Linked DNA regions of Diceros bicornis minor. The protein of the gene in region 2 binds, or shares a complex with, the protein of the main gene of each other region. Links are inferred from orthologs where the notes say so. Each region holds a gene or a part of one and is shown on either strand. Other genes may lie near its edges.

The links.
Region 1: MED26 (region 2) and MED19 share a complex: the UniProt entries of both Homo sapiens proteins name them as parts of the mediator complex. The link is inferred for Diceros bicornis minor from reciprocal best matches to the Homo sapiens genes MED26 and MED19.
Region 3: the proteins of MED26 (region 2) and MED21 are in contact, whole or in part, in a cryo-EM structure (PDB 7EMF), measured with the Homo sapiens proteins. The link is inferred for Diceros bicornis minor from reciprocal best matches to the Homo sapiens genes MED26 and MED21. Residues at the interface, in NP_004822.2 of Homo sapiens: Ser481, Arg482, Asn483, Glu484, Ile485, Ser488, Tyr489, Ser491, Arg492, Ser495, Leu496, Ser498, Ser499, Ser500, Leu528, His529, Ser535, Pro537, Thr538, Asp539, Leu540, Pro541, Gln549, Asp551, Leu552, Ile555, Gln556, Trp560, Gly562, Val563; in NP_004255.2 of Homo sapiens: Ala2, Asp3, Arg4, Leu5, Gln7, Asp10, Ser14, Gln18, Asn21, Gly24, Val25, Gln28, Cys29, Tyr54, Leu57, Phe58, Leu61, Arg64, Thr65, Lys67, Asp68, Val71, Leu72, Asp74, Ser75, Leu76, Pro77, Ser78, Glu79, Glu80.
Region 4: MED26 (region 2) and MED31 share a complex: the UniProt entries of both Homo sapiens proteins name them as parts of the mediator complex. The link is inferred for Diceros bicornis minor from reciprocal best matches to the Homo sapiens genes MED26 and MED31.

The regions. Positions count from the first base shown.
Region 1 is NC_080770.1:16,251,820-16,259,624, reverse strand, and holds the start of MED19 (mediator of RNA polymerase II transcription subunit 19), read right to left. Parts: upstream 3,008-7,805; 5' UTR 2,925-3,007; coding exon 2,657-2,924; intron 1-2,656. Other genes in the region: TMX2 (thioredoxin-related transmembrane protein 2), read left to right, coding at 3,317-3,505. UniProt on the Homo sapiens protein: Component of the Mediator complex, a coactivator involved in the regulated transcription of nearly all RNA polymerase II-dependent genes.
Region 2 is NC_080759.1:4,774,152-4,781,318, reverse strand, and holds the start of MED26 (mediator of RNA polymerase II transcription subunit 26), read left to right. Parts: upstream 1-4,160; 5' UTR 4,161-4,405; coding exon 4,406-4,477; intron 4,478-4,502; exon of another isoform or gene 4,503-7,167. UniProt on the Homo sapiens protein: Component of the Mediator complex, a coactivator involved in the regulated transcription of nearly all RNA polymerase II-dependent genes.
Region 3 is NC_080756.1:35,909,462-35,916,982, reverse strand, and holds the start of MED21 (mediator of RNA polymerase II transcription subunit 21), read left to right. Parts: upstream 1-4,512; 5' UTR 4,513-4,537; coding exon 4,538-4,579; intron 4,580-7,521. UniProt on the Homo sapiens protein: Component of the Mediator complex, a coactivator involved in the regulated transcription of nearly all RNA polymerase II-dependent genes.
Region 4 is NC_080757.1:13,085,217-13,092,380, forward strand, and holds the start of MED31 (mediator of RNA polymerase II transcription subunit 31), read right to left. Parts: upstream 3,010-7,164; 5' UTR 2,930-3,009; coding exon 2,902-2,929; intron 2,048-2,901; coding exon 1,970-2,047; intron 1,683-1,969; coding exon 1,586-1,682; intron 1-1,585. Other genes in the region: C18H17orf100 (uncharacterized protein C17orf100 homolog), read left to right, coding at 3,383-3,766. UniProt on the Homo sapiens protein: Component of the Mediator complex, a coactivator involved in the regulated transcription of nearly all RNA polymerase II-dependent genes.

The DNA.
Region 1 (7,805 bases), on a different chromosome or scaffold from region 2:
AAGATTGGCCCTGAGCTAACATCTGTGCCAATCTTCCTTTATTTTGTATGTGGGACACCACCACAGCATGGCTTGACAAGCAGTGCATATGTCCGTGCTCGGGATCCGAGCTCACGAACCACCAGGCCACCGAAGCGGAGTGCGCAAACCTAATCACCATGGCACCGGCCCAGCCCCTGCAGATATCTTTAGAAGCAGTACTCCTCAGTTCAGAAATCTCAATGGTTTCCTATTACCCCCAGGAAAAAGCTCAAATTCCTTTGGCATTTGCGGTAAAATACATCTTACCGTAACTTAGCTTTGGGGCCTGATCAACCACTACTGCCCTGTGCAAAACTGCTGATCCATCCAAATGGGTCTCCACCATCTCCTGAAAAAAACACCCCTCATACTGTTTCCTTTTAGGAAATTTCTTTTAGGAAAATTGACCTAATTATAGGAAACTTCCTCCTAATTTTCTTCACTAATATGAATTCTTCAAGGTCTAGCTCAAGTGACAACTTATTCCTGCTGTTAACTTGGATAACAAGGGACACATTTTGAAGACCATGATGTAGTTCTTAATAGTTGTATGTGAGTCATGACCACAAAGTAATGAGACTGGCCTTGACAAGAAACAGTCACTACTTTATCCTTAGACCACAACTTTGCATCCCTAAGTAAAATAAGCTCCTTAAAAGCAAGGACCGGGCTTATTAATCTCTCTCCCCTTCTCATCACATGTCCCCTTTCCTACACATCCAGCCTTTGCTCAAAACAGATATTCAATATCTGTCAAGTGATTGATATAAAAAGGTACAATCAGAACAGGTAAGGTTAAAGAAACTGCTGGTAGACATCAACCACTAACCAAAGAAAAGTCAACCTCTCTGTGCTTCAGTTTTTTCAACTACAAAATGCAATAACAATGCCTATCTCGAGGGGCTGTTCTAAGTATTAAATACTATGACATATATAACTGCATTGTCAACTTCAAAGTACTGTACCAACATTCATTATTATTTCCCTCAACTCTTGATGTGGCAGTAGGTCATGGGATGAAGTGAAAGGCATCTTGAAGACTTAACATGTATAAGATGACTCTTGATTTCCACCTCCTCAAAGGTGGAAATCTTGTTTCCACCTTCCATCCTTGTTCTTTCCTGGTCTTAGCACTACCATCCACCCAATCATTCAAGCCAAAAATTTCCAAATCATTCTCAATTCCTCTCTCCTTCATTTCTATATGTAGTCCTTCATTCCTGCTCTACCTCTAACATTTATCCTGCATCCACTTACTTCTCTCCTCCACTGCTATTGCCTAGTCCAAGCCATTATCTCTTTGCCTGACTACTAAGCAGTAACTCTCGACTGATTTTCTCACTTTGCTTTCTTAATGTAGCTGCTTGAATGATTAAAAATAAATAAGTTATGGGGCTGGCCCTGTGGTGTAGTGGTTAAGGTCATGCCCTCTGCTTTGGCAGCCCAGGGTTCGCAGGTTCGGATCCCAGACACGGACCTACACGCTGCTCATCAAGTCATGCTGTGGCAGTGTCCCACATATACAACAGAGGAGGACTGGCACAGATGTTAGCTCAGTGACAATCTTCCTTAAGCAGAGAGAGGAAGGTCGGCAACACATGTTAGCTCAGGGCCAATCTTCCTCACCAAAAAAATAAAATAAAATAAAAAATAAGTTAGATCATGTCACTCTCCTGTGTTAAAATGGCTTCCCCCTGAACTTAAAATCTAAATGCCTTACAAGGCCTCTGCCTATTCCTCCCACCTTCATCTCCTATCACTCTTTCTTATGTTCAATTCACTGGAGACCAACTGCTCTTTGGTCCCTCAGATATTCCAAGGTTCTTCTCACATCAGGGCTTCTGATCTCATTTCTTGTATCTAGAATTATCCCTCCCTCCCACTCATAAATGCCTGACTCTTTCTCTGTGTTTACATTTTAGCTCAAATGTAATGTACTCAGAGAGGACTTCTCTAATCATTCTAGCTAAAGTAGTTCTGCCCCCTCAATTTTTTTATCACGTTTTCTCCTTGTAGCAATAACCACTGTCTGATATTATCTTTTTTACTTTTTGCCTCCTTCGCTGACATATAAACTCCAAAAAAGGCAACGATCTTGTGAGTCTTGTTCGCAGCTGTATCTTCAGCATTTAGAACAGTGCTCGGTACACAGTAGGTGCTCAACAAAATAATTTTTTGAATGAAAGAATGTTGTTCAATTCGAATCACTTCTTCAAACAGCTGAGGAAACGCTGAGGCCCTGAGGAGGGCAGCTTGCCCCAAACCGATAGCAAGTTTGTGGCAGACTTGGAACTAAAACCTTACGTCCGCAGGGATGTTAAATCAGGACTCTCGAGTTCCAAACTCGAACCCTGGATAGCTTCTAGGGAGCCATAAACCAGTGTCAGGGACAGGGGCCGGACAGGGCGTGAAAGATGATCACGGGGATGCATTCTTTTCCCATCCCCAATCCATCCCAAGAATTCATGCCATTCCTTTGCTTGTGAATCCTCAGAACCCTTCGGACTTAAGAGCTCCAAAGTCCCAGAACGCGTTGCCTAGGTTACGCCTCACCTCCGCCGGCGGGCTGAGAGCCACGCCCCTCACTTCATCGCTATGATCTGATTGGCTGGTTTCGGCCAGGCCTAGTACTCACCTGGCAATTCCCGCATTAGGTAGAAGGGACCGCAACCCGCCGCTGACTTGTCGGCGCCGGGAGGGGCCGTGGCTGCGGTGGGGGGCGGGGCCGTGCCGGGTCCCCCGCCCGGAGGAGGGGGAGGCGGGGGTGGAGGCTTTCCCGGTCCGAAGCCGAGTGCGGTTGGGGGCGGTGGTGGGTCAGCCTGAGCCCCGAACAGCGCCGTGAAATTCTCCATCTTCCCCTCCGCGCCGGCGGTGTTCGGGTGTCTGGCGTTGGTGATTCTCATTGGACAATCCTTTTACGGGGTACCGCCCCCTTCCTCCAGGAGCCGCTTATCATTGGATTGCCTCGGGCCCCGCCCACTTTCTTCCGGCAACTACTTCCGTCGCTGTTTGAGAACGTTCAGGAAGCGCTGTCTAACCATATTAAATTCTTTCTGATATCTTCGCTTGCCGTAGTCACATGTCCAATAAAATGTCTTGGGGCGGGAGAAAAGCGACAGCTAGATTGACCAATAAAGTATCAGATCCCTCTCTCAGTTCTTACCCACCGTAAAGTCCAATTAGATCTAATTCCGGGTCCAGAGGCGGTGCATCCGAGACCAGGCCCAATGTGGGGAGAGACGGTTACCTGACCAACCGACGCCGAGGAGCTGCGGGCTCCGCAACGGCCGAAAAGATGGCGGTCCTGGCGCCTTTAATTGCTCTGGTGTATTCGGTGCCGCGACTTTCACGATGGCTGGCCCGACCTTACTACCTTCTGTCAGCCCTGCTCTCGGTGGCCTTTCTACTCGTGAGGAAGCTGCCCCCGCTCTGCCACAGTCTCCCCACGCAACGCGAAGACGGCAACCCGTGTGACTTTGACTGGGTGAGCGACCCCCGCCTGAGGACCCCGCGACCTTGACTTCCCTGCCCCCGCGGTTGCATCCGGGGGCCTTGAGGTTCCCCTTTTTGAGAACACCTGAGGTTCCGAGGCTGTAGCGGACTTCCAGACCATTAGCGTGTAGGGTCGGACCGTCATCGCTCTAGACCTCTGCATGTTTAATTAAGATGGGAAAACAGCGGGTTAGTCTGCACAGAAGACAGCCTGGGTCTTCTGACTCTGGAGTCCAGGGTTCTTTCCATCTTACCATTCATAGTTGTCAATAGCCCTACCTAACAAGACCCATGTACAGTGTTTCACAGTGCTGCTCATATGGAGAGCCTATTGAGAGCCAGTGAGGTAAACAAGGCAAATGGTATTTACTTTTTATTGATGAAGAAATTGATCTCAGCGTGGTTTGGCGACTTGCCCAAGGTCACACAACGAGTGAGTGCCTGGGGTTTGAAACCACTCTTCTGGCCATAGTACCTGCACACTCACAGCCATTTCTTAATTCAGTTAACATTTCCAGAGTGCGCGCAGTATGCTAGGCACTGTGCTGCATCCTGAGAATGCAAAAATGAATAAAATTGTTAAGCCTATTGAAAAGGAATTGTAAAAAATATCTTGTAAAGAAATCTATCTCAAGCCTCTTGCTGTACTTCCTGACTAAGAATGGAGGGACCACTCAGAAAAATGAATGGAAGCTCTGTGCCCTCTGGTGTATAGCAGCATCTGTGTTCTGAGGAAGGAAGGTCATCCTGAGTTTTCATCTTGTTTTCCAGCCTCCTCAAATGAGTCTTGACCTTTACTAGAACCTACTCCTTTACTTTTATCCTCCGTCTCTTGTTTACTTTTTAATGCTTTGTCTGTCCTTTCCCAGACAGTATTATCAATTAGCTCAAATGTTGCCATGCTCTTTCAAAAGATCCTATCTTTGTCTGATATTCTATACCACTTTAACCAAAATGGAACTCAAAAATATAAGTGGATAGTAATAAAGATTTTAATAAATGTAGAACCTTTTATACAATTAATTTCTTTGTATACTCGTCTAATAATATGCAAAATATTGGAAGGTTTTATATTTTATTATTACTCTGATAGAATTTTTTTTTTTTAACTACTTCGGGTTTATGGCCAGTGTTTGTTTTCCCGGAAAATACGTGTTTTACTGATTTACCTTGGTGATTGGGAAGTTAGGATGTTAAGGTAAATAATGTTAGCAATAACAGGTAAAATTCAAAATTTCAATGGCTTAACAGAACAAAAGTTTATTTCTATTTTATTAAATAAAAGGAAAGAAGCATTTCACGTTTCTTAGATATACTGTGTTTCAGAGTAATCAAATAATTGATAAGAGAATGTTGATTTCTTAATATAAGAATTTGGGTTAATACAGAAGGAATGATAGAATTTAAAAATTATTTAGTAGCCCCAATGAAATAATAAATCGAGGCAATGATCATCGGTGGATGCTAAAACCATCAGATGAAAGGTTAATGTGTCCTCTGAAGTGATGCAGTGGGGAGTACTTAGCACCACCTATGATACATTTTTGGCAAAAAATTTGGATTTTATTGTATTCAGACCTCTAGATTTCATTAGCACTTTACAAGAAATATGGGAGATGGAGGATCATCATTAGAAAAAAACATACCATGAGTATGAAGGCAGCCAAATCTTAAAAGCAAGAATGTTGACGGTGCAAGTGACTCAATGCCTTCAACAGATAAATGGCTGGGGGGTAAAAAGGAAGGGCAGATATATTAGAGATTAAGGAAGAACAAGGACACACATCAGCCAAATGCAGTACGTGGATCTTGCTTGCTTGTTCCTGATTTGAACAAACAACTGTAGAAAGACAACTTGAGATAATTGGGATCATTTGAATAATGACCAAATATTAGATGACAGTAAGGAATTATTGTTAATTGTGTAAGGTATGATAATGGGATTTTGGTTTGTTAAAAAAAGTCCTTATCTGTAAGAGATACACACTGAAGTATTTATAGGTGAAATGATATCGCTGGAATTTGCTTTAAGTTTCCCCAGCAAAAAAAGTGGGTAGCATAGATGAAATAGAACCATTTTGGCAAAATGTTACTGTTGAAGCTGAGTAATAGGGGTTCATTAAAGTATTGTGAGGAGGAAAATTAATTTTCCCTCTACCCTTCTGAGGGCTTGGCTGAAACCCCTGTAATAAAAGACAGACTAGATAATTAAAAGACAAATAGAAGTTTATTAACATGTATGTCTCATGTATACATGGGAGATACCAGGGGAAAAGGAGTAACTCAAAGGGGTGGCTTAGAACTCCACTTATACAGCGTCTTCAGCAAAGAATGATAAATTTGTCAAGAAATGGCTGGACAAAGGAAAGCAGTTTTAGGCTTCCAAGGGCGACAGACTGTGGGAAAGTAAACTAATGGTAGGTAAAGGCTAGTTTGCTAGGTAGATTGCTCTGGCGCTGTCTCCAGGCTGATAGGGTCTAAAGTTACCTCCCTTGATTAACTTTTGTCCTTCCTGGTAGAGAGGGTTGGAGGGATACCTTTGAAAATTTATGTCCTGCTTTTAGACAAATGGGGAGAGTAGGCAGCTTTTCTTTTATCTACTTCTCAATTGCCTTCAGGCTCAAAATAATCCTTATGCCAAAGTGACATATTTTGGGGTGGCATATTCTGTTACTCTTCAGTATCCTCTCTATCCTTTTGTATGTGTTTGAAATTTTCTATAACAAAAAGTTTCAAAACAATGAATGAACAAGCAGAACAACCAAGGGACCTCTGCTTCACACAGTTATTCTGGAACCCAGTCTCATTCTGTCTTCAACCTATGGCCTTCCTAGCATCATCCAGCCAGCGGATGCTGAAAGAAAGCTGGAATGCAAGGATACACCCTTTCTTAACTGCCTAGGCGCAGTGGCACATCACTTCCACTCACATTCTGTCCAGGAGTACTAGTCATACAGTTCTGCCTAGATGCAAGGAGACTGAGAGTCTAGTTGCAATATGCCCAAGAGGCAAAGGAAATAAGGTTTGGAGTATACATAGCCAGTCTTTGCCATAGACCCATTCTCTATCTTTAGAGAATATTCCTTTTAGTCTTATCTTTGGTCTTCTGATTGACCACAGCTCCCTTTTAAAATTCATCTTTCCACAATTGTAAATCCCAATTCTAAACCAATTTCATTCATGGAAACTCTTCTTCATTTTTGCTGAGGTATAATATTTAGTAAGGTCTGTCATCTTCCTTAACCCCCACTTTACATGTCCATTTCTAAATCTAGTCAGTTACTTTTTGTTGGAGATTGAGGCTAAAAACCTAGGTCCCTGACTCCTTCCTGTAAATTGCTGTTGACCGGTTCTGTCTGCAGTAATGATTTGGGTCCCTGTATTACAAACAAAAGGTATGGAGGCTTTGGACCATCAAATCTATAGTTGCTCCTCCTCCCATGTTTTTTCTCACATGGTTTTTGCTATTCTTCATTGTGGTCTTTACTCTGAAATTGTCTTGTTTGTTTCTTTGTCATGTTTATTGTCTGTCTCACTTGCTCATAATGGAGCTTACATTCTAGAAGGTGAGAAAGAACTATAAGCCAAGGGTACTGAGAAGGGCCTTTGAGAGCTCTGAAAGCCCTCCTTCAGTTCTCTAATTAAATTAAAGGTGCATGGATTATCACGAGGATTATTAGGTGGAAAGGAATGACTTAAGTTAAGCAAAACCAAACAAATTGAATAACCGTATATTGTATTAATGGAATATTACTGAGAAAATTCCCTGGAAAAGTTTTATTTTTCCAGGATCACACTGAGTTGGTTGTAATATCTTACAGTTTTACACCATATACTTTATACAATTCTTTCATACCAGTTATCTCATTTAATCCTCACAAGAGCAATTTGAAAAAGATCTTGTTCAGTCAAGGAAACCAAAGTCAGAGGTTAAGTGATTTACTGAAAGGCACCAGCCAGTTTGTGGTGGGGTAGAACCTGAACCTAGATCTGACTGGTGTTTTCCCATTATACCTTAGCTGACTCCAGTTATTTCTTTATTGTTGCTGTAACCATGGGCCCACTAGGACCAGTTCGAACTGACCCCTTCTTATCAACAGAGGAGTGATTAAGAGTTATTTTTCAGAGGCAGTGTGCAAAAAAAAGTTGCAAGTCACGTAGCCAGAGCACGTGCAGAGGAGAAAATCTTGACCTGAAATGACACCAGAACCAAAGATTCTCCCCCACCACGGAACCAAAGGACTAGGACATGACCGGAACTTGCAAGTCGGACTCTTATCAGAAGCGAGGAG
Region 2 (7,167 bases):
CATTTAATATTAAATTGGGAGCATTTTTCCATGTTATTCAATACTGGTTTTTAATGGCTAGATTATCTGTCTATCCGTATATGTCTATATCCTTTTATATATTTATTTTTGAAATTTAATCTACAGTAATGTACAGGTTGATGAATTTCTATGTTGCATACACTCATGAGACAAGACCACCACCCAGATGGAATTATAGAATCCTGTGGTCCCTCTCAGTCCATAACCTTCCCATTTTCACAAATTGACCCCCAGTTTATTTACCTACTCCCCTATTACTGGACACATAGGTTGCTTCTAGTCTTTTATCCTTATAAACAGTGCTGCCGTGAACTTCCATGTACATACACGTTTGTTTGCATCTGATTGCTTCCTTCAGATACATTTCTAGAAGTTGTAAAACACTGGGTCAGGGGGCATGAACATACGGGAACGCTCTCAGTTAAAATGCTGCCTCCTTGTCAAACATCTTTCCCATTACGCTTGTCCAGAATGGCCTTGCCCCTCCTTGGTGTTTCTGCTGCACTTTGCTCAGACAGTACAATTATGGTATTGTATTCATGGGCCCCCAACCTGTTTCCAGTGCTTGGCTTCAAAACTAGATCCTCAGGAGCAAGCTTTGTGCATCTTTGCATCCCCCTACCTGGAGACACAATAAAAATTGTTTGAGTTCTCTTGTCTATCTCTGAAGCCCTTCCTAAAAGCAGTGACGTTTCAGGGCTATTCAAAACCAATTGAAATTGGTTTCACTTTGAGAGTAAACAAGACTTGCTACATAGCCGAGGAGAACTCTGAAACCCATCTCTAGGTACTTCTGAGATTGTTGACGTGGTTAAATGAGTTAATACACAAGAGAGTGTTTTTTTAAAAATTCCCATCAGACTGTTAAACTCAGAGCAAACATTTTTTTTTTCCTATTAATCACCGGAGCCCTCACATACCTTATTGGGTTAAGTCCAGTAACTCCCAGGGGTTTATGTGTCTAAAGGGGCACACAGTTGCTTTTCCCTTCAGGAATGCATCTGCCCGGTGCGTTCCTGCTGTTGCTCCTTGCCGCCAGGTGGGGTTGCTGTTGAAGACTGGTCCTGTGCAGTTGTAGGAGCTGGCCTGCTCACGGCTTCCTTCTGTGACACCCTTGCGTGTCCGGCTTGGGCCACCGCAGTCTGTCAAAGGAGAACAAGCCCACTCCCTCACTCCAGGCCAGGCTGAGGATGCTCTGCACTGGGGCTCCTGAAACTGCCTTTCTGCCACTTCCCATGGCAAGAGCAAGTCATGGGGTCAGAGCCGTTTCTTCTCTGTGGAGGCCACCTTGCTAAGAAGTGAGGCAGCCTTTTCAAGGGCATTCCAAGTACAAAAGATCTTGGCCTCTCAGGACAGTGGGGCCAGTGCTCTCTGTACCTAATATAAGGGACATATTGCTGGAGAAGAACCATTACATTACAGCAAGAGGATTTACCTGAGCCTCACCTTTGCATAACTGATAGGAGCCATTCAAGAGTCTCTTTTTCGAAGCAGAAAGTCTGCTAGGTGAACTGCAGTGTCTATTCTGGACCTAAAAGAAGATGCTAACCTTTTCAAGATTCCCATTCAGTGGCCATCTGATTTAATCTTTACAAGTACCCTTTTATATAAGTTAAATGTGAAATAAAACTGTATATATCTATGTGCATCCTCATGTGTATATAGTATTATATTTAATATTTAATTCATTCATTAAATATTTACTGAGCCCCACTGGGTGCCGGATCTGTGGAACTGAACTGCATACCTATGTCTGAGTGTGTGTATACAGTTGCCGTGTATCTGATGAGATGTTCATTCACTTATTTCACAAATATTTAATAAGCTCTTTTCTGTCTACTTGGGACACTGAGTGGAGTCAGTGCCCTTGCAGACCTCACAATGTTCATATTTCTTCTTAGTTTAAAAAGAGCAGGTAATGGGCCGCCCCCGTGGCTTAGTGGTTAAGTGCGTGCGCTCTGCTGCTGGTGGCCTGGGTTCGGATCCCAGGCGCGCACCGACGCACCACTTCTCTGGCCATGCTGAGGCCATGTGCCACATACAGCAACTAGAAGGATGTGCAGCTATGACATACAACTATCTACTGGGGCTTTGGGGGAAAAATAAATAAATAAATAAAATCTTTTAAAAAAAAAAAACAGGTAAGTTGAGTGCTTTCCAAATTTTACTTAAACAACCTGACTCATGCAAAACAAATTGCTTATTTCTATGTAATCCTTGATTAAAAAATAAGATACTGGGACCGGCCCAGTGGCGCAGGCGGTTAAGTGCGTGTGCTTCGCTGCAGCAGCCCGGGGTTCGCCGGTTTGGATCCCGGGCATGCACTGATGCACTGCTTGTCAAGCCATGCTCTGGCAGCGTCCCATACAAAGTGGAGGAAGATGGGTGTGGATGTTGCCCAGGGCCAGTCTTCCTCAGCAAAAAGAGGGGGATTGGCAGATATTAGCTCCGGGCCGATCTTCCTCACACACACACACACACACAAAAATATATATATATATAAGATAGTGTACATCAGAGTTAGATATTAAAAAGAGAAGTAGGGTGGGAATATACTTGGGGAGAGCTTGTTTATTTCGCTTATCTGAAGTAAGAAAGAATATCTCCAGGTGGGCTGGTTTCCAACTTGCACCACATACACAAAGCACTTCATTCTAGGAAGGAGAGAGTAAATTAAAGAGAAGTATTTTGCCCATGTTTATTTTCTCCTACAAGTGTGATATAAAACTTTTAACATGTGCAGAAGCAAGCAACCACAACCACGTGTGGAAACAGCCATTTTTGCAAATAAAAATGCTTCCCAGAAGCATGACAAATGCAAGACTAACAGGTGTAGCACAGATCCAAGGCGCACATGTGGTTCTCATCAGCTGCCTCTCTCCTGTTTTAAATCTAGGTCTTCCTCTAACAACGAAAATTATTTCTCCCAAGGCTGCAGGCCGATAATCCACTCAGCCTGCTTTTCCACCCCTTCTCATAACAGTCATTCTAATAGAGCTTCCAGAGAGAGAGAGTAGAGACAGCAGTGAAAGAAGGCAGCAAGGTGGGGTGGGGAGCGGCGGGGGGCAGCCCTTAGACTTGACATTAACAATTCTGGGTTTGACCTATAACTCTGGGTGACCTTGGGTCTCACTTTCCTCCTCCATGCAAAGCAGGGTGGAAGGGTCCTTTAAACCAGTGGTTCTCAACAGAGGGCGATTCTGCCCGCCAGGGGACACCGAGCAATAACTGAAGACATTTTTGTTTGTCCGTACTGAAGGAGAGGGTGCTACTGGCATCTAGTGGGTAGAGACCAGGGATGCTGCTGAACGTCCTGCAATGCACAGGACGGCCCCTACAACAGAGTGATCCGGCCCCAAATGTCCCTGGTGCCCAGGTTAAGAAACCCTGGCGTGGACACAGGTTTGCAACCTCGGGCTCAGCTCATGGCGCTGGCTTTGGAGCTTTTGCAGCCGGGTTGGCGGCTCCTCCAACAGGCGCTTTACTGTCTCCCGTTTTCGTGATCCGGGCGCGGGAGGCACTGCAGCCCCCTGCGCCCTGGGGAGGGGAGGAGCGAACGGAGGAGGGGAGGGGACGGGCGGGGCGGCGGGCCTTGGCGCCCCTCAGATGACCCTTCCGAGCAGAAGCACAACGTGGACGTCTGTCTGCCTCGCCCCCAGGAGCGCCGATCTAGGGGCTGGGAAGGACTCCCGGGCTCGGAAAACTTGGCAGCTTCTCCCGCCCGCGACTCCCGTCACTGCGGGGACGGCTTTCCTCCCCGAGGAGTGGTCCTTCCGTCGCCCTGCCCGCCCCGCGGCCCAAAAGCAGCCGCCCGAAGTGCCCGGGTTCAAGAACTCGGTGCGCACCGCGCGTTTCCGTCGGAAACCTCCGCCCCCCGGCCCGGAGGGGGCGGGGCCTCCAGGCGCCGGCCGTTGCCCCGCCCAACCGCCTCCCAACGGCTCCCTCGGCCGGGCCGGGTTGAGTGCCCCTGTGCGCGCATGCGTGGAGGGGCGGGGCAGGGCCCGCGCGGGGCCCCGCCCCGGCCCGGCGTCTCTGCCCGCCCCATCTCCCAGCCTCCTCAGCGTGGCGCCGACGCTGCGTGCGGCGCGGGTTACCCAGAGTGCTCCGCGCAGGGGCAGCTCACTGGAGTTTGGTTCTCGAGGCGGCGGCAGTAGCGGCGGCGGCTCCGGCGGCTCCTCCTCCTCCTCCTCTGGTGGCGGCGGCGCCCCGGGCCCGAGCCCCGGCCCCGGCTCCCTTCTCCGCCACCCCGCGCGCCCCTTCCTCCCCCGGCGCCGCGGGGAACATGAGGCTCCGGTCCCGGAGGCCGGCGAGTGAGTGACCCCCGTCCCCTGCCTCAGCCCGCCCGCCCGCTGGCCCGGCCTCTACCCCCCGCCTCGCCCAGGCAATGACAGCGGCTCCGGCGTCTCCGCAGCAGATCAGGGACCGGCTGCTGCAGGCCATCGACCCCCAGAGCAACGTAAGTACCCGCCGCTTGTGCCGGGACGGAGGCCGCGTGGGCCCGGGACCCTGCTTTTCCCCGGTGCCCCTCGTCCTTCGGGCTCCGAGAGACCCGCCCGACGCCCACCTCACCTTGAGGGCCACTGCCATCCCGGCCTCTCGCCCCCCGGGCCCGGGCCGGGGGAAGGTCGGGCAGCCCGGCGGCGCTCTGTACGTGAGGCTGAGGCTTCCGTGCGGCCTGGGTGGAGGGAGCAGACGGGAGGTGAGGCCAGAGCTTTTCCTCTCCTCCCACTTCGGTTGTACGACCCTCGCTGCTCCTGACGGAGCCCCCCCGCCTCGCCCTCCCCCGGGGGCTCGCGACCCCCGGGAAGCCCTCCCGGCGCGGGGGAGGGGTGGGAGAAATGCTGTGAAGCAACTGGTGTCTGGGATATGACTCGGGGAGCCGGTGCCTCCCGTGTCTCGGTCTTCTGGGTGATCAGGGAAGCTCTCCTTCCCTCTTCTCCCGGCTGGAAGCACCTTCTTGGCTTCGGAAGGAAACCCCCCGGCGTGCTTTGCCCCTAGCCGGGTGCCCGCGGCGTGTGGAGAGTCCCCCTTGGTTCTGCGAGTCGACATGTCTTTTCCGGATCCCTCTTGGGGTCGCTGCCGACGAAAGATAATCTTGGGGAGGGTAGGATTCTTCCTGTTGCCTTTCTGAGCCTAAGTGTCCATTGCGTCTCTGACCAAGCCAGAGCCCCCCTGTTTAGTAGTGAATTAGAAATGATTGTTTTCTCTTCTGTTCCCCCATGAGCCCTCCTTCGGCTGTCTCTTCCCCCACCTGGAGGTCCCAGGCTGGTGCTTTGTGAGCTAGACGGTCAGGGTTAACCCCAGGGTGTCGCTTTCTCAGATGGCTCTCCACCGAGGCTGCTGTTTGCAGAGGTATGTCCCCTGCCCCCCTCCGTGTGTGTAGGGGAAGACTCATCCTGTTTTCATATTTTCTCCAAAGGGTTGTTGGCAGTAGGGGTCATTTTCCCCTATGGCAGGAGCAGGTTGAGCAATAGGAAGATGCAGTGGCATCCAGGTATGAAGTGAGCCCCTGCATTTGCTGAGAGATCAGGAAGTGGCAGTTGGAATCTCTTTTTAACATGCTGGGGACGGAAGGAAAAACTGTCTTGGACTTGGCCAGGTAACCCAGGTTTCTCTCACTGTAGGGGCTTTTGCTTTTCCTTTATGTGAGTTTGGCTAATTCCTCTTAGCATTATGCTTTGGCTTGGTATTTTTGGAATAATTCATGTTGGATTGTACAGTTTTGGTAGAAATTGAGAAGTTATGATCTTTATAAGCCTCTGATTTCTGTATCATAGGTAATTCTCTCATCCCTGGTCTTTAGTCCCCATTAAGGTTGATTTGGTAGTAATTGTCTTTAACAAATGTTGTATACATTTTTGTTATGATTTTGGGGGTGGAGTAGGCACAAGCTATATAAAACCTTCCAGAATTTTTGCAGCAAGTGGTGCTGCTGCAGTGGCCAAAACTGAAATATTAGAGGATAAAACAAGTGATATGAAAAATATAGCATTGGCGACTTTTGTATCTTTTGTCCAGTCAGAGTATAATTTCTTGAATTCCATGTGCTTGCTTGCCTTCCAGAGAATCTGAGAGGTGCCTGAGATATTAGCACTGATCCTTAATGCCACCTAGGAGAGCTTTGGGATCAGGAGGCACTTTGACAGGCGGTCACAATGTTGTAGATTAGGTGGGGCAGTGACCTCCGAGGTTCCGGTGTTCTATAAGGCTGTAATCTAAAGGCTTCCTAGGAGTAGAGGAGGGAGAGGAGGATGACGGGCTGGCCAGAAGCAGGAGGAGGGAAGAAATCCAGTTTCGTGTATCTTGGCGCCTGGTGTGTGCAGAAACTTTACATTTATTTAAGCCCGTGGTTGTGTTGCATGGGATGGAATTCATGTTTCATTTGGCTTCTTTTGGGGTTTCTAGTGATAGGTGTACGTTGAGTCCTACCTACTAACATAAGTGTGATGGATGGAATTGGGAAATTGTCTCTTTGAATATGTGCAGCAAGGAAAGTACCTCTTCTAAATGCTGCCATTGTAAGCAACCACCGGTGAGCATTGTTACTAGCCATTTGACAGGAGCCTGGCTTGGAGCAAACCCCATTATAGAAACTCAGCTGTGGCAGAACAGGTTGCTGGTGGAGATGGTACAACCGTTATGTCTGCAGTTTCTCACTAATGACCTGGGCTCAGGTGAGAGTGAGGTGGCTCCAACAAGGTGTTGCTGCCACACAGCTGCTCTCCTCTGCCTTGCCCAGTTATGAACTCGACTTCCGGATAGTTAGTTGACACATATTTAAGATGCTCGTGGAAAAAAAAATGGGGACAGTGTTGAAGAGCCAACACTAAAATTAAACCTCTTCTGAGAGAAGCGACAGAATTGTGTCGTGTAATGCTTACCTTTATGGGCATGCAATTATGGTTAACAAACTTCGCTTTTGCTTGGTCAGGCAGCTGACCTAATATCCAGAAGTATCTAGAAAGTTGAGAGGTAACAAAGTAACGTTTACTGACCGTCTCCTTGACAAAGGAGTTGTTAAGAGGAAAGTTGTTTCTGTGCTCTAAATTCTAGCCTGTGGAGTATTTGAATTTCTACAGCAGCAGGCTATAAATTATAATTTCTGCCAGCTCAGTAATAAAGTAAATCGTCTACACTCCTTTTAAA
Region 3 (7,521 bases), on a different chromosome or scaffold from region 2:
ACGTGCTAAGGAAAAAAGCAAAGGATGAAACCATAAAGGAAAAGATTGGCAGATTAAAGGAAAAGATTGGTAGATTTGGCTACTTAAAAATTTAAATTTTATGAAAGTCAAAAAACACCATAAACAATACAAAAAGTCAAGTTGATGACCAAAAATTAAAATTAGCAAAGGACATGAATAAGGAATTTCACACACACAAAAAAGGAAATACAAATGGCCAATAAACACATGAAAAAAGTTCAAACTCACTAGTAACAAAAAAATCAAATTAAGAAACTAAAAATGTAAATATTTTAAAAGAATAAGAACATCCAGTGTGGATGAAAGAGCTGAGAAGTAGACATTCTAAGATAGGACTAATGGGAGTGTAATTTCATATAACTTTGTATAAAGTAATCTGTATCAAAAATCTTAAAAGTATTCATAGCTTTGATATGATAATTCTACTTTTAGATTTAAGTATGTCAATATGTATAAAAATTAGATATATGTATAAAAATTAGATATACGTATAAAAATTAGTGTACAAAACTGTTCATCAAAGTGTTATTTACAATAGCAAAAATCCTAAAATAACCTAAACGCCTAACGATAAAGAATTAAATAACCTGTAATACATCCGTATAATAGAATACTGTGTAGCTCTTTGAAAATCACATTTTAGAAGGCAAGTGATTGATCATGAAGTGTTTATGAAAAGGCAAGTTACAAAGCAATAAATATATATAGTATTAGGCTTATTTTGTTTTCTTTTTAATATGCATTCATGTTAATATGCATAGAAAGGTTGAAAAAACATATCAAGATGTTTAAAATAATTATCTCCAGGTGATTGAATTAAGAACGACTTTCTTTGCACATTTCTGCACTTTGTAAAAATTCTACATTGAAGGTGTATTGTTTTTAAATAAAATATAATTTTTAAAAAGATACATATAGTTTTAAAGATTTTCTTATAAAAGCATTCAGGATAATCATCTTCCTGTGTATGACACATAATGCTTTTCATGATGTAGCTCCTGCCTACCTCTCCAGGTTCTTCCCGCAACTAAACTCAAATTCCTCTATGCTGGCTGCACTGAATTAATTTCAGTTCCCTAAACTAACCCTATTCTCTCCCCAGCAATACCTTTGCAATGCAGTTGCCTCTGCCTGCAGAGGACAGCTGATGACCAATGTGTCAGCAATCAGAAGAGGGCCTCATTACCTTTGCTGTGCACTACTGTGACAGCTTGGGAGGATGACTGGCTGGGGTTCCTTGCTCATGTCAGAGTTCCAGTGGAGACCTGAGAAGCAAACGGGCTCAGCAGCTTTGCAGATGAGTTTGTCATCCCCATGAATTGAAAGGAAAATATTCCCCAATCCAAGATATAGGTAACTAGAGCCTTAAAGTCTGCTTAAAGTTTAGAAAAGGAAGAAAGGCAAGCCACCTATCCTAGATTTTTGATAAAATCCAAGACACCTTGGATGGAGATGGGAGCAAGGATCCAGGGGAAAGGCAGAAAAAAACTTGCCCGTTTATCCTATCCCACTCTAATCTCACCTTCGTTCTGTATTTTTTAACTCTCACGTTCTTCGTGTGGGTAGTAATTTACATTATTTTGACTGTGTTTATTAAATTAAATTCAATAAATGTTTACTTAGGAACTGTTATATGGAAATAATTATGCTAGGAAATTCATTCATTCAATCCATAAATATGCATTCAGTGGCTTCTATGTGCCAGGCTAAATGGTGCTAGGTATTGGAGATATGGAAACAATTAAAATATGTTTTCTGCCCACAAGTAGCTCATGGTGGTGAGTGAATTAGAGTCCTGTATGAGTAATTACACCTCAGTGTGCTAAATGCAATAGAAGTATAATAAACAATTATGGTAATGATTGGGAGTAATTAATTTACATTCAGGGTTCAGGAAGGGTTTATAAAGAAAGAAATGTTTAAAATAAGGTTTGAGGGCTGAGTAGATGATCAACAAGGAAACAAAGTGGAGGTATGGAAGGAAATGTGGGCATTCATGCAAGGAAGAGGAATTATGTGTCTTAATGGTGTGTGTAGAAGTGTGAAACAGCAGAGCATGTTTAGAGAACTGCAAGGAGTCTAGAACAGCAAATCCTTATTTATAGTGTTTCAGTCCAGTGCTTGGAACACTTTAAATGTTTAATAAATTGTGACTGAGTGGGTAATAAAGGTATTAGGTCTAGGATGTCAAGTTAAAGACTTTTTCTGAAAAAAATAGGGAGTCACTGCAGGTTTAAAATCTAATCAAGGTACTTACTACAAGATTGGATATGAGTTGATATTTGAAGCTGGGTGATGAGTACAGGAGGGTTCACTATACTATTCTATTTTTGCATATGTTTGAAACTTTTAATAATATAAAATTTAAAAGAAAGAACTTACCAAAATTACATGTTTAAAAGATAAGAAATATATAATACTGGGTTCCTGCTTTAAAACCATATAATCCAGTTGGAGATGCAAGAGAAGCAAATGAAAAAGCATATGAAAAGTGTCAAAATCATGAAAGGGAGAAAGGAGAAGGCCATGTTGCCTCTTGTAATTCATAAAATTTACAAGAAAAAGGTAAAACTTAAAAAGATAGAGTATGAATTAAATAGTAGCAAAGAAATTGCTCGTCAGAAATCCTAAGCTAGACACATAAGATTGTATTTGGCACACAAGGTATTTCCTGAAATCTACAGCTTCAAGAGATTCACAAACCCCTTAAGAATGTATGCAAAATTTTGAGAGCGTGGCCTGGGGAAAAGGTCCACGGCTTTCATCTGATTCTTAAAGGGGTCCTTGGCCAAAAGAAGCTTAGGAAGCCCAGGAAAACCAAGGGTTCAGGGTCATGGCTGAAAAATATTAAGTGATTATTTCACTCAGAAAATTATTGGGAGATGAGGCTGGATCTGTTGCGCTGAGGAGATTACAGTGAACCTTGAAAACCAGGCAGAGACGGCTGGACATCAACCTGAAGTCTCTGTGGAGCTGGTGAAAACCTGTAAGGAAGACAACAGGACAAAAGCTATGTCATAATATGAATTGTCTTGAAATGGCTCCTCTACCCTAGGCACCCAAGATCTCTTCAATCAAGCTATAAAATTTAGTATTCTCCTTTAGTGGGCCCTCTCATTCATCCCCCTATATCCAACCAGTCACCAACCCATGTTAATTTTTCCTCCACAAATAGCCTTTCCTTCCTCTCTGATCAGGATCAACACCCTAGTCTAAGCCCAACTCATCTCATTCTTGGATAACTGCAAAACTCTCCTCGCGAGTCCCTGACTAATTCATCTCTGCAAACCAAGCACCCAACATACCTGCTCTCACAGGGCAGGTATTCCATAAGGTACACTCAACTGGTGGTGGAAAGAGAACGTCATAGATTACTCCATTACTCCACAGTTAAAGCACATTAGAGTTACCTCTCATTAATCCCATTATGGAGGAAGTGCCTCACCCAGAGGTTCCTAATTAGGTCCCAGGAGGCATGAAGATGGTTTGGGGATGGGGCAGGAGGGGTGGTGAAACGGAAGTGGAGCTTCCCAGCTACGGTTGGGGTCAATCCAACAAGCTGAGTTCCGCATGGATAGTTTCCCCCACCCTCCCTCAAACCCAGGAGGGTAATCAGCGATAAACAGCCAGAGAAAGAGGGAATGTGAGTTCCACGAATAAGTTATTTGCAGATTCCACGCTCATTTCTTTCCAGACTATCCCCAGGCTAACTTTCCTTTAGTACCTCCTCCGTTCCTCACACTGAGTTCCTCGCTGTCATACAGACGAGATGCTTATTACGCTCACAGCTGACCTAACTCCAAACGCTCCTCTCACTTTTGCCCGCGGAGACCTTCTTTCTCCTTACTCTTCCGACACACCCAATACAGCTCAGTTTAGTATTTAATTGTTTCGGACGCTTCCCGTCTCACGCGTGTCAGCTCCCGCAACACACCCACACTCAGAATTAAAGCACGTACCCAGTCTCCACTTGGGTAAGTCCCTCGGGACCCAAAAGCAACAGAGGAGGCACCCTAACCCAGCCCTTCCTGGTTGGTGAGTTTTAATTTGGATTTGTCGAAGTTAAAGTCGGTATCGTGAGTCCCAAGTCTTCTTGAGTTGCTTGCTTTGTACGGTATGTGTTTCGTGGTCCACCTGGAAAGCAAGAGCAACGTAAAATAAGTATTCAGGGCGATTTTAAAAATGAATATATGGGAGGGTAGGGAAAATTAACTTTTAAAGACGGCAGAGACCAACAACTTCCGTAAAGTGTTTAACTCCTAAAAACCTCGAGAACTGTATGTTAGCCCCAAAACCGAGTGGACCCGGGACACCCCCAAGTGAACGACCTGCACCCAGCGCATCTTTTCCGCAAGGTAAGCCTCGGGAACTTCCCGCCCTCTCCTCGCCGGGCGTGGAGTTCTGCTTGACTCCACCCCCTCCAGAACGTAGCCCTGTGATTGGCCAGGACGCGTCTTAGAGCTGCCCAATCGCGTACGAGCAGCTGCTTTCGCGTTCTTTTGCTTGCGGGAGGAACATGGCGGATCGGCTCACACAGCTCCAGGACGCCGTGAACTCGGTGAGCAATTTCACCCGATTAGTCTCTGTCTTCCTCTTTCCCGAGGTAAAGTGAGGGAGGAAAAGGGGCCCGAGAGACAGAACCCGGAAGTGGGGAGCGGACCGAGGCAGGGCTTGAGCAGTAAGAGCTCGGGGCGGCGGGAGGCGCCGCGGCGATCGGGGACGTTTGAGGCCGGCTGCCCGGCGGTGCGGAGGGCTGCGGGAGGGAGCAGCCTCTTTGGCCTGAGAAGTGGCGGGTCTCTCTACCAAAGCCTCACGGTCCTGTCATGTTCTCCAGGGACAGTCTTGTTTTCTTGTCAGTGGCGCTTATGGGGTCTCTTCTCTTTTTGGGGGAGGGGAGAAGCAGCAGAAGCTCTTTTCCCCGTTGTCAGTTTTCACCCCTGGAGGGAACCCTGTGCTCTTGATGATTGGCTCTTTGTCGTTGGGTGTTAGCCGAGAGTATTCCTTCGCCAAAACTTTCAGGATGGCGCGGGAGTGATGGTGAGGTGAGAAGTTTTGTTTCATCTTAGTTGGTACCTAGAGACCAAAGGTCTTGTTCCATCTCTTGTCCTCTCCCCAGCATAAATCATTTTGGGGAAAACTGACATTTTTGTGCTAGTGAATCTTCTAATCCTCGTATACCTTCCCATTTATTTAAGTCTTCTTTAATGTCTCCCCAGTACTACTCCCTATTAAAGGTCAAGTTTTGTAAGTAGCTCCCTTTGCTTTGATCCTTCTGGTTATTTTTCCTGTTATGCCTAAGTGGAAAGTATGTGCAAACCAAGGGTTCATATACTTATTACCATTAAGTTAAATAGTTTTCCATTGGTAGTTATATTTCTCATGGTCATTCTGTTATTTGATGTCCCAGGTAAGATGCCTATAGAGAGAGAATATGTTGACTGGAAAATCTAAGTATTTGGTTCCTTGCCAGTTTTTTCTCATTGGAAGCTAGCAAGTTGGGATTCTGGTTATTACATCAATCTTAGTACACTTGAAGAGCGTGAATCTGCTGAGAAACTGATCTACTCTGTGTGTGTGTATAAAATAAACTCTTTTAAAAAAGAGAGGGCCATCCCTTCTAAATGTTGATGAATTCACCAAGATAAATTCAACCTTGCGGTGACTTACCTGGGCTGCCCGCCAAGCTCGCTCAGGAAGATACTCCTTTGAGGTTTTACAAAATCAAATTGTAATGATGCTGCTGGATAGAAATGTTATTTTAGGGGAAATATTCATGCATGTCTTGTAGCCAGAAGGATAGTAAGGACAAAGTGAATATGGCCTTAACTCCAGGGTGGGCGTGCTGATAATTGGATTTTGGAGAGAAGCATCTAGGTTAACTAGCATGAGTGCCTGCTGTGTATATAAGCACTACCATGTTTACAGAGAGATGCTCCTTAAGGAGTTTACAGTCTGATTAGAAAGATGTCATATACTGGAGACATTTAAATAATACGAAAGCAGTATGTGGTTTGGGAGTTATAATGAATCAAGTGTTTTCAGCTGTCAGTGCTGAAGTAAATTGGAATATAGAGTGATATAAACTAAAATAGAGGGATTCTTAGCATTTACCTGAATCGTAATTATTTGTAAAATTATTAAAATAACATTTGTTTTACCATCTGAGAACTCCATGAGGAGTTCTTGTTCACAGTATTGCTATAATGTTTATGTACAATGCTTGTCATGGAGTTGATTTTCCATAAATATTTGTTGAATACATGGGTCTTGAGAGCTTTTGAAGGACAGAGCAGATAGCCACTGTGTTGAATTTGTGTGTGTGTGTGTTCTCTGTTCCTCACAAGAATACTGTAATATGAGAATGTTCCCAATTTAAAAATGAAAAAAATCTACTCAGGTTACTAGAACCAGAATTAGAATCCACATCCTCTGAGCACTTACTACTGCTCTGTTACCAGTAAGGAAAGGTGAGCAAAGCGGTGTAGTCGGAAATGAATTCATCACTGGTCAGGTATATATGAAGGAGTGGTAGAAAATGAATAAGTGGAGTTGACTTAGATTATTGAAACAGCTTGAAGAGTAGTAGATTTATCTTGAAGACCATGCTGGAGTGAGCTCAAAATTTTTGAGCAGGGTAAAATAACAGTGAACTGGAAAACAAGAAGGAGGCTATTGTAACAATTCCTATGGGAGATAATTGGTTGAACTAAAACAGCAGCAGTGATGATAGAAGGAAGAGGGAAAGATGTGTAGTATTAGCAGGATTTGAAGATGAAAGGAAACCAAGAGTCTGAAGTTAAACTGGTTGACTAGGAGAGTCTCAATACAAATTAGATATTAAACAAAGGAAACAGTTGACTGAGTTCTGTCGTTCAAATAATGGCAGAGAGACTTCGTGGAAATGCTTATTCACTGATTGGAAATAAGATATTGAAATTTGAGAGGTCAGGACTATTGAGAGAAGTTGGTGGGGAGGATAGGAGTGTTAAGTTTGCAGATGGTAAGGACTTGATATTCTCAATCTCAAAACTGCTTAAGGAATACTTTTAGAGCACCGGGAGTTTACAACTTGAGTCATGGAGAAAAACATTTTGGAATACTTAAGGTGCAGTCTTTTTCCCACTATTTCTTTTTCTTGTTTGAGGAATATTAGCCCTGAGCTAACATCTGTTGCCAATCCTCCTCTTTTTTTGCTGAGGAAGATTGGCCCTGGACTAACACCCGTGCACATCTTCCTCTACTTTATATGGGACGCCGCCACAGCATGGCTTGACAGGCGGTGCATAGGCCTGCGCCCGGGATCTGAACCTGTGAACCCCTGGCCGCCGAAGCAGAGCGCACAAACTTAACCATTATGCCACTGGGCCAGACCCCGACTATTTCTTTATGCTTGAGACTACTCTGGTCTCAGAAAAGGGATTGTATACTTTGTACAAGAGTCACACATTTTTTTATTTACCCTGGGTCCATACTTAGATATTTGCCAGTCAAATTTGCTCT
Region 4 (7,164 bases), on a different chromosome or scaffold from region 2:
CCTGGAACAGATCTATCATGATGGCTGTAAAGATAATGTAGGATGGAGGTTACAATAGGAAAGGCACCAACAAGCCCCTCTTATCAGAAGTTCTGTCTCTCTGGCCACATTCTCTGGATGACCCTGCGAGGAGTTGCCAGACAATCATTTACATTTATAAGGGAAATCTCCATTTGTAAAGGTATCTCCCTCTCTGTTTTGAGAAGAGAGGGGGATGGCCTCATTTCTAGAGGCTTATCAATGTGGAAGTTGAGGCCTTAAAGCTGCATAATAACCTTACTCTTGTTTACTGTGCTTTAGTGGTAATCTCCTGTAACTGACTCCCCCAACCCCCAAAATCCTCCTTTGTCATTGGCTGAACATGGTATTTAAAACGAGAATTTCTGCTATTGTGTTGAGAAACGCAGTGTCCCTGCTTTCTCCCATGTATACATGTTATTAAACTTGGTATTATTTTCTCCTGCTAACCTGTCTTGTTAATTATTTGGCCAGCCATAAGAACCTTAAGGAAAAGGGCAGAGGGAGATTCTCCCTCTTCCCCCTAAAACTACATACATATAACATGTTGCAATCTAATAAAAAAGTCTCTTCTCTGGATTATTAAATGAATAAGTGGTTGTTTATAAAGGGCCAGTAAGGGTGCAAAGGGTCCTGCAGGCAGCAAGAGGATGTGGGCTCCGTTAATCAGTTGTTTTCTTAGACACAGATTAGAAAAGTGACTTGGATAAAGTACAAACTTGAAACATCTTCCTCTCCAACTTACTGTTTGTTTAGGGAAAAAAAGACAAAAAGTTTCACTATTGCTTTTTAACTACCTGGTTAAGACAAAGCAGAAATATGAGTTCAAAGTTTATTTTTTACCATTAAAAAGGAATAGGTTTGTGATTATAATATGCTTCTTTCAATTTAGTAAGCCTTAAAATGACATCTGTTGCACAACCCAAGTGCTAAATATACATATATATATTTTTTTTTAAATAAGCACAGTGCTTGGCACATAGGCGGTCCTATAAAAAGACAGCAGCTATTAAGACTCAGGTAAGGTTACCTCCTCCGGAAACCTTCCTTAGAAGTACCCCTTTCTATGTTCTTTAATTTTCAGCCTATGGCTATGTCATTGCATTTATAGATTGTGGGTTCCTTGGGATCAGAAATCCAGTGAGATGGGGTACAAGGTAAGGTCAGACAGTTCAGGGCCAGAATATACAGGGCTTTAGCTCAAGAAAAGAGACTGTATTTGATTCTACATGCAATGGGAAGCTACTGAAAGGTGCCAAGCAAGAAACTGACATGTTGCGATTTACATTTTTTTAAGAGATTAAGTTGGCTTCTGAAAATTATTTTGCTTTGTTTGGCTTGGCAGGGGCAGGGGGGTAAGAGTGGAAGCAGGGATAACCCATGAGTAGATTACTGCAATAATCCAAGTTAGAGATGAATGTGTCTTGTATTAAGGTGGTGGCAACTAAAAGAAGTGGAGAGATTTAAAATATATTTTTTCCAATGTGAAACTAAGAAGTCTGTTGAATACAGTGTTTTGGAGTATAATAAAGTATACACATATTTAGGACTATAAAATTAAACTTACTTTAGATACTTGGCATATTCTGGTTCTTTCCAGTAAAGCAAGTACTTAAGGTAATTAACAAAAGCTTTGTCTTTGAAGTAACCTCTTTGGGCAAGAACTGAAAGGCATAAGAAAAAAAACACATCTGTAGAGCAAACCAATCCTTGAACTACTGATTTGTAACTCCTAACATAAAGAATTTACTTACATAACATTCCCACCACCAACAGATACTGAATTCAAAACACAAGTCACAGTTTGCTCAATTATATATATACCAGTACAAGTGTAGCATTAATTCTGTTCAATTGAGAACGTATAAAAGTAGTTACTATCATGAATTGCAACTCTTCTGTCAGAAATCATTAATAGCTACTTAATTCAAAGAGGTGCTCAACAACTTACAATTAAGGTAATTTGGGTTGGCTAAACACTGCACAAATTCCAACTCCAACTGAAACCGAAGTCGATTTCCAGCATCATCTAGGAGAAAAGATAGCAAAAATTATCCAAAATAAAGATCACTCTATATAATATTGATTTGTAGAAAGAAAACAGCAGTAAAGAAAAACACGACTAATGCTGAGATTCATTTCTGCATAGAGAAGGGCATGTGATGGTTTTCCTACACTGAGTGTGGGAGAAGATAAACCTTCCTTAGAAGTCTAAGAAAAGCAAAGCCCTGATTAAAAGGAGTAAGTGAGAAGTTTCTCTCAAGTTAAAGAGACGTCATCAAAGAAAATAGGAACTCACACGGGGCAGAATATTTATCACCTGTGAGCCACTATGTAGGGATTTTTAACAGTGACCACTGGGGTAGGTTGTAATAACTGTGCCTTCCCCCATTTCAGTAATGCATTACAACAACTTGTTAAGTAATTAAGTTAAGCAAAGCTAGGTGAATGCTAAATCAATCAGGAAAACATTTAGAAAGCAAGCTGAAAAGGAGAGTACGCAAGACCAAGGAGTGTGTCGCATGTGAGAAGCGTCAGTGGCAGAATAACACACAACTTTGTCGACGATATTTCAAACTTCTGCAAGCTCATTTGAGAGGCAGAAACAAATCGAGGAACGGTTTAAGACCGAAGTCCTCTCCCTTAGTCTCGCCCACGCCGGGAAGTCAGTGTGGTCGGTGTTTGAACAACAGGTGGGGAAAAAGGATCTCCGAACAAACCAACTCAGAAAAGGCCAAACTACCTCTCAGCTTCCCCCTCCCGGTCCGAACTCCATCCCTGCCGGGAGTCAGGCCTGGAAGGAGCCGCCGGGGAAGCGAGAAGAGGGGTCTGGGCCCGCGACAGTCCTATTTGCGAAGACCCGCGACTCCCAGCGCCGCTTACCTGTCTCCATAGCGACAGCCGCGGCCATCACAAGCTAACACGGTAACTCGCCACCAGCCGGACACAGCAACCCCGCGTAGCGGCGCGGCAGGTTCCGGAAGCCGCGGCTCCCCTTCCTGTCGCGGAGCACTGTGGGATGTGGGAGCGGGGACAGTCTCGCGCCGGGGCGGGAGGCTCCGCCCATCCAGGCCCGCCCCGGCCCCGCCCGCGCAGGCTCCAAAAAGGCGAGGGGCCTGTGCGGGGGCCGAAGGAGTGCCGCAGGGGCCCGGCCCAGGATTTTGAAGGGATAGTCCAGGCCCCACAGGCCCACGTGCCTCCACGTTCTCGTGTCGTGACCCTCTCGTCCACCCCTGTGCCTGCGGTGGCGTAACACGTCATTGTGATGTCATTCCTTACCCTGTGACGTAACCCAGAGGCGTGACTGTTGAGGACCGCTGGGCTGCGGGGCCTCAGGCCTCCTTGGGCCCGTTACACTCGCGGAATGGCCGCACCCGGTCGGGGAAAGCCCTCTTCGCCCCGGGTGGAGACCGCCCGCTACCAGGAGACATCGACGGTCCGCGTGGAGAGCTCGTCCCACCGCGTGGAGACCTCCTCGCGGCAGGTGCGGACGTCTTCCCGGCAGGTGGAGACCTCCCTGCGCCACAGCGAGCGGCCCTCCCCCTCCTCCGCCTCCCCTGGGAAGTGGCTCCCGCGCCTCCTCGAGGTGTCCTCCCAGCACGTGGAGACCTCCTCGCAGCGCACGGAAACGTCCTCCCGCCACGTCAGGGCCTCGTCCCTGCGGTTGGAGACGTCTCTGCACCGCGTGGAGAGCCCGCCCCGGCGGGACAGGCCGGCTGCCCGCCAGAATGTAAAAATGGCCCCATGAAACACTTCCCAGAGGCCACGAAAGGGCCGTGGCCCGTAGCCAGGACAGAATTGCCTCCAGTGTGCAGCCAGCCGGCTGCCAAGTGGACCAGTCATCTTTGGTGTCATAGAAACAGCCCATGAATCAGTGTCAGAAAGAGCCAAGCTGCGGTTTCGGGACTCAGCTAGCACTTATTGACCATGCTGCACCTTGGACCGCACTGCCTTTCACCCAGTGAACTATTTTAACTTGAAGCCAGCACAAAAAGTTTTCAGGCCCATGATACTGTATTAAAGTGGGTTGATGGACAAAGAGGCTGTTTCAACCTCTGAGCCAGGTGAGTTTTGGATTCATAGTCCCTGAATGACGACCTTCACTGCTTCAGACTTAGGGACAGAGGGCAAACTGAAATCATGACCAGTGGAATGATTATATGCCTGCTAAAAATCTGAGAGGCAAGGAACAGACTTTCATTCATTCATTAATTCATTGGCCTTTGTTTATGTTTCACAATAATCGGTTATTTTCCTTTGCTAAGCCCTTGTATATGGTACCCCCACCCACACACTTTTTAACATAGGCCAAATTTAGTTAAAAATGAAAATTGAAGGTAAACAACAACATCAACAATCAAGCATAATCTTAGAAGGGAAACCTGACCTGAGGTTTAAGAAGGTGGAGGGAAGGAGTATTTATTGAGAACCCACTCCGTGCCAGGTGTTATTCTAGCACTTGGGCTATAGCAGTGAACCAGGCAGGAGACAGGGTCCTGGCCCTCAAAGAGCTTATGCTTTGATGAAGAGGCAGACAGCAAATGACAGAAAAAGACCGTTTGCTATTGTGATTAGCACTATGAAGGAAATAAACGGGTAGTGTGATAGAGAACGGAGGTAAGGGGGTTCTTTAGATAAGATGGTCAGGGAGGGCCTTGGTGATTAGGCAACATTTGACCTCAGATTTGTATGGATGAAAAGTGAGCCATGCAAAGATCTGGGGAGACTGCATTCTAGGCAGAGGGAACAGCAAGTGCCAAGGGGGGATGGGAGCAAGCTTGGAATGTTCAACGAACAGAAAGACCCGTGTGGCTGGAGCTTAGTCAGGGAGAGGATGGTATGGAAGGGAAGATGTTAGAGAAGTAGGCAGGGGCCAATTCATAGGGGTCTTGTAAGCTACAGTAGATTTTATTCTAAGGTCAATGGGAAGACATTGGAGGGTTTTCAGCAGGGGAGTAACATGATGCAATTTACATTTTTAAAATATCCTGGCTTCTGAGTGTAGGATATAGGATAGTTCTTGACTGGGGGTGATTTTGTCCCCTAGGGGACATTTAGCAATATCTAGAGACATTTTGGTTGTCACAATTTGTGCAGGGGTGGTGCATCTAGTGTGTAGAGACCAGGGATGATGCTAAACATTCTACAGTGTACAAGACAGCTCCCCTCCTCCAAACAAAGGGGCCTAAGTTTGGACTAACATACTAACAGACTTAGTCCAAAATGTCAATAGTGTGAGGTTGAGAAACCCTGATGTAGGGGACGGACAAGAGAGGAAATGGGAACTACTTAGGAAGCTAATGCCATGGTCCAGTAAGAGGAAAGTGGTTCACACTAGGGTGGAAGAAGTGGAGCTAGAGAAGAGAGGGCAGATTAGGGGTGTGTTTTGGAGGCAGGGCTGACATGACTGGTGGATACGAAGGTGAAGGGAAGAGGAATAGAAGAATCAAGGGTGACTTGACTTGAGCAGTTTGGTGTATGGTAGTGCCATTTACTGGGATGAGAAATACCAGGGAAAGATCAGGTTTAGGAGGGAAAATCAGTTCAGTTTGGCCATGTTGAGTTTGGGATGCCTATAAAATACCCAAGTGGAGACACTGAGTGGTGGTTGAATGCAAGAGGTTGGCTACCATGAGAGAGGTGAGGATTGAAAATGTAAAATGTGGGGTCGTCAGTACATAGATGGTATTTAAAGCCATGGGACTGAGTGACAGTCATCTGCCGGTCTGTCTTGCTCATTTTATGAATGAATTTGAGATCTTGTTCTTCAGGGAGCACCAGCTGGCTGAACCCCTCATCCTTCTGTTTCACCCCACAGGGCCTGGATTGACCTACCTAATTTTGCCTTGCCTATAGTCCTTTGGCAGCCACCAATAAGGGAGAAAGTTTGAACTAAAATGTCAGACAAATGCTTTAGAAAATGTGCCTTTCACAGGCAACATTACTTTGCTCCTGGGAAGAAGGTCTTAAAGGTTTAAAAGTTCATGTTTTTTGGGGAGTTTTTTTAGGGAGGCATGCATGGATATTAATGTGTAGTCCTAGTCCTGGGTTCTCATGGGATGACTGAAGAACCACTGAATTGATCTGTAATAGTGGTTCTCAACTGGGGGCAGTTTTGCCCCACAGGTAACACTTGGCAATGTCTGGTGATGTTTTTGTCACAACTGTGGGGGTTGGATACTACTGGTATCTAATGGGTAGAGGCCAGGGATGCCATTAAACATCTTAAAATGCACAGGTCATCCCCACACCCCCACCTCTGACAACAAAGAATCATTTGGCCCAATGTCATTTGGCCCAGTCATTTGGCCCAAATGTCAATAGTACCAAGGCTGAAAAACCCTGAAGTTTCTAGCAACTTAGAAAGTTAGAGTGGTCCTTTGGGGGAAGCACCCCACTTCGTAGCAGGGTTTGCTAGGGGAGAGGGTTAGAAGCAGTGTCCTCTGTCAGATGTCAGGGCAGGAGCTCTCAGAGGAGAGGGATGTGTTGCTTTTTGAGGAGACCCTACATTCGTGCTTTCAATAGTTTATGTGATATTTGTCGGAGGACGAAAGGAGGTCCCGTTTAGCAGAATGTGAATGACCTTGATTCTGAGGGACCTCATGGTGAGGCAGAGTACTTGCTATTGCCAGGCGCTGTGCTGAGTCGTTACCCACTTACTTCATTTAATTACAGGGGAGTGCGCTGGGCTGCCCAGTAGAATAGGGGCTCAGGCCAGGGGAATGTTGTAAAGCCCCCGAGTCTGCCCTCATGCTTCTGCCTCATACAACTTCTGCTATAGACTAATAATTAGACTTTGGAATTTCAGTCTTTGGTGAGCTTACTAATTTTTTTTAACATGGCAGACCATGTGCATTATATATGAACACTCTTAATCAGTGTTTTTTAAATGAACAAAGTAGTCACTTTTCTTCAACAATGTTCCGTGTTAATGTTTTTATTACAAAAGTGATATGTGCTTAAGTAACAAATGAAATAATTCAAGGCTGTGTAAAGAAAAATTTAATAATTTGTCATCATTGCCATTTCCATCCTCTGGAAATAGTTAATGTCAGCAACCTGGTATGTATCCTTCCAGACCTTTCTGCATTAACTGCTTCTATCCCCCTTGTTAGTAGTACCTAGAAGACTGGTGGGAAGATTACT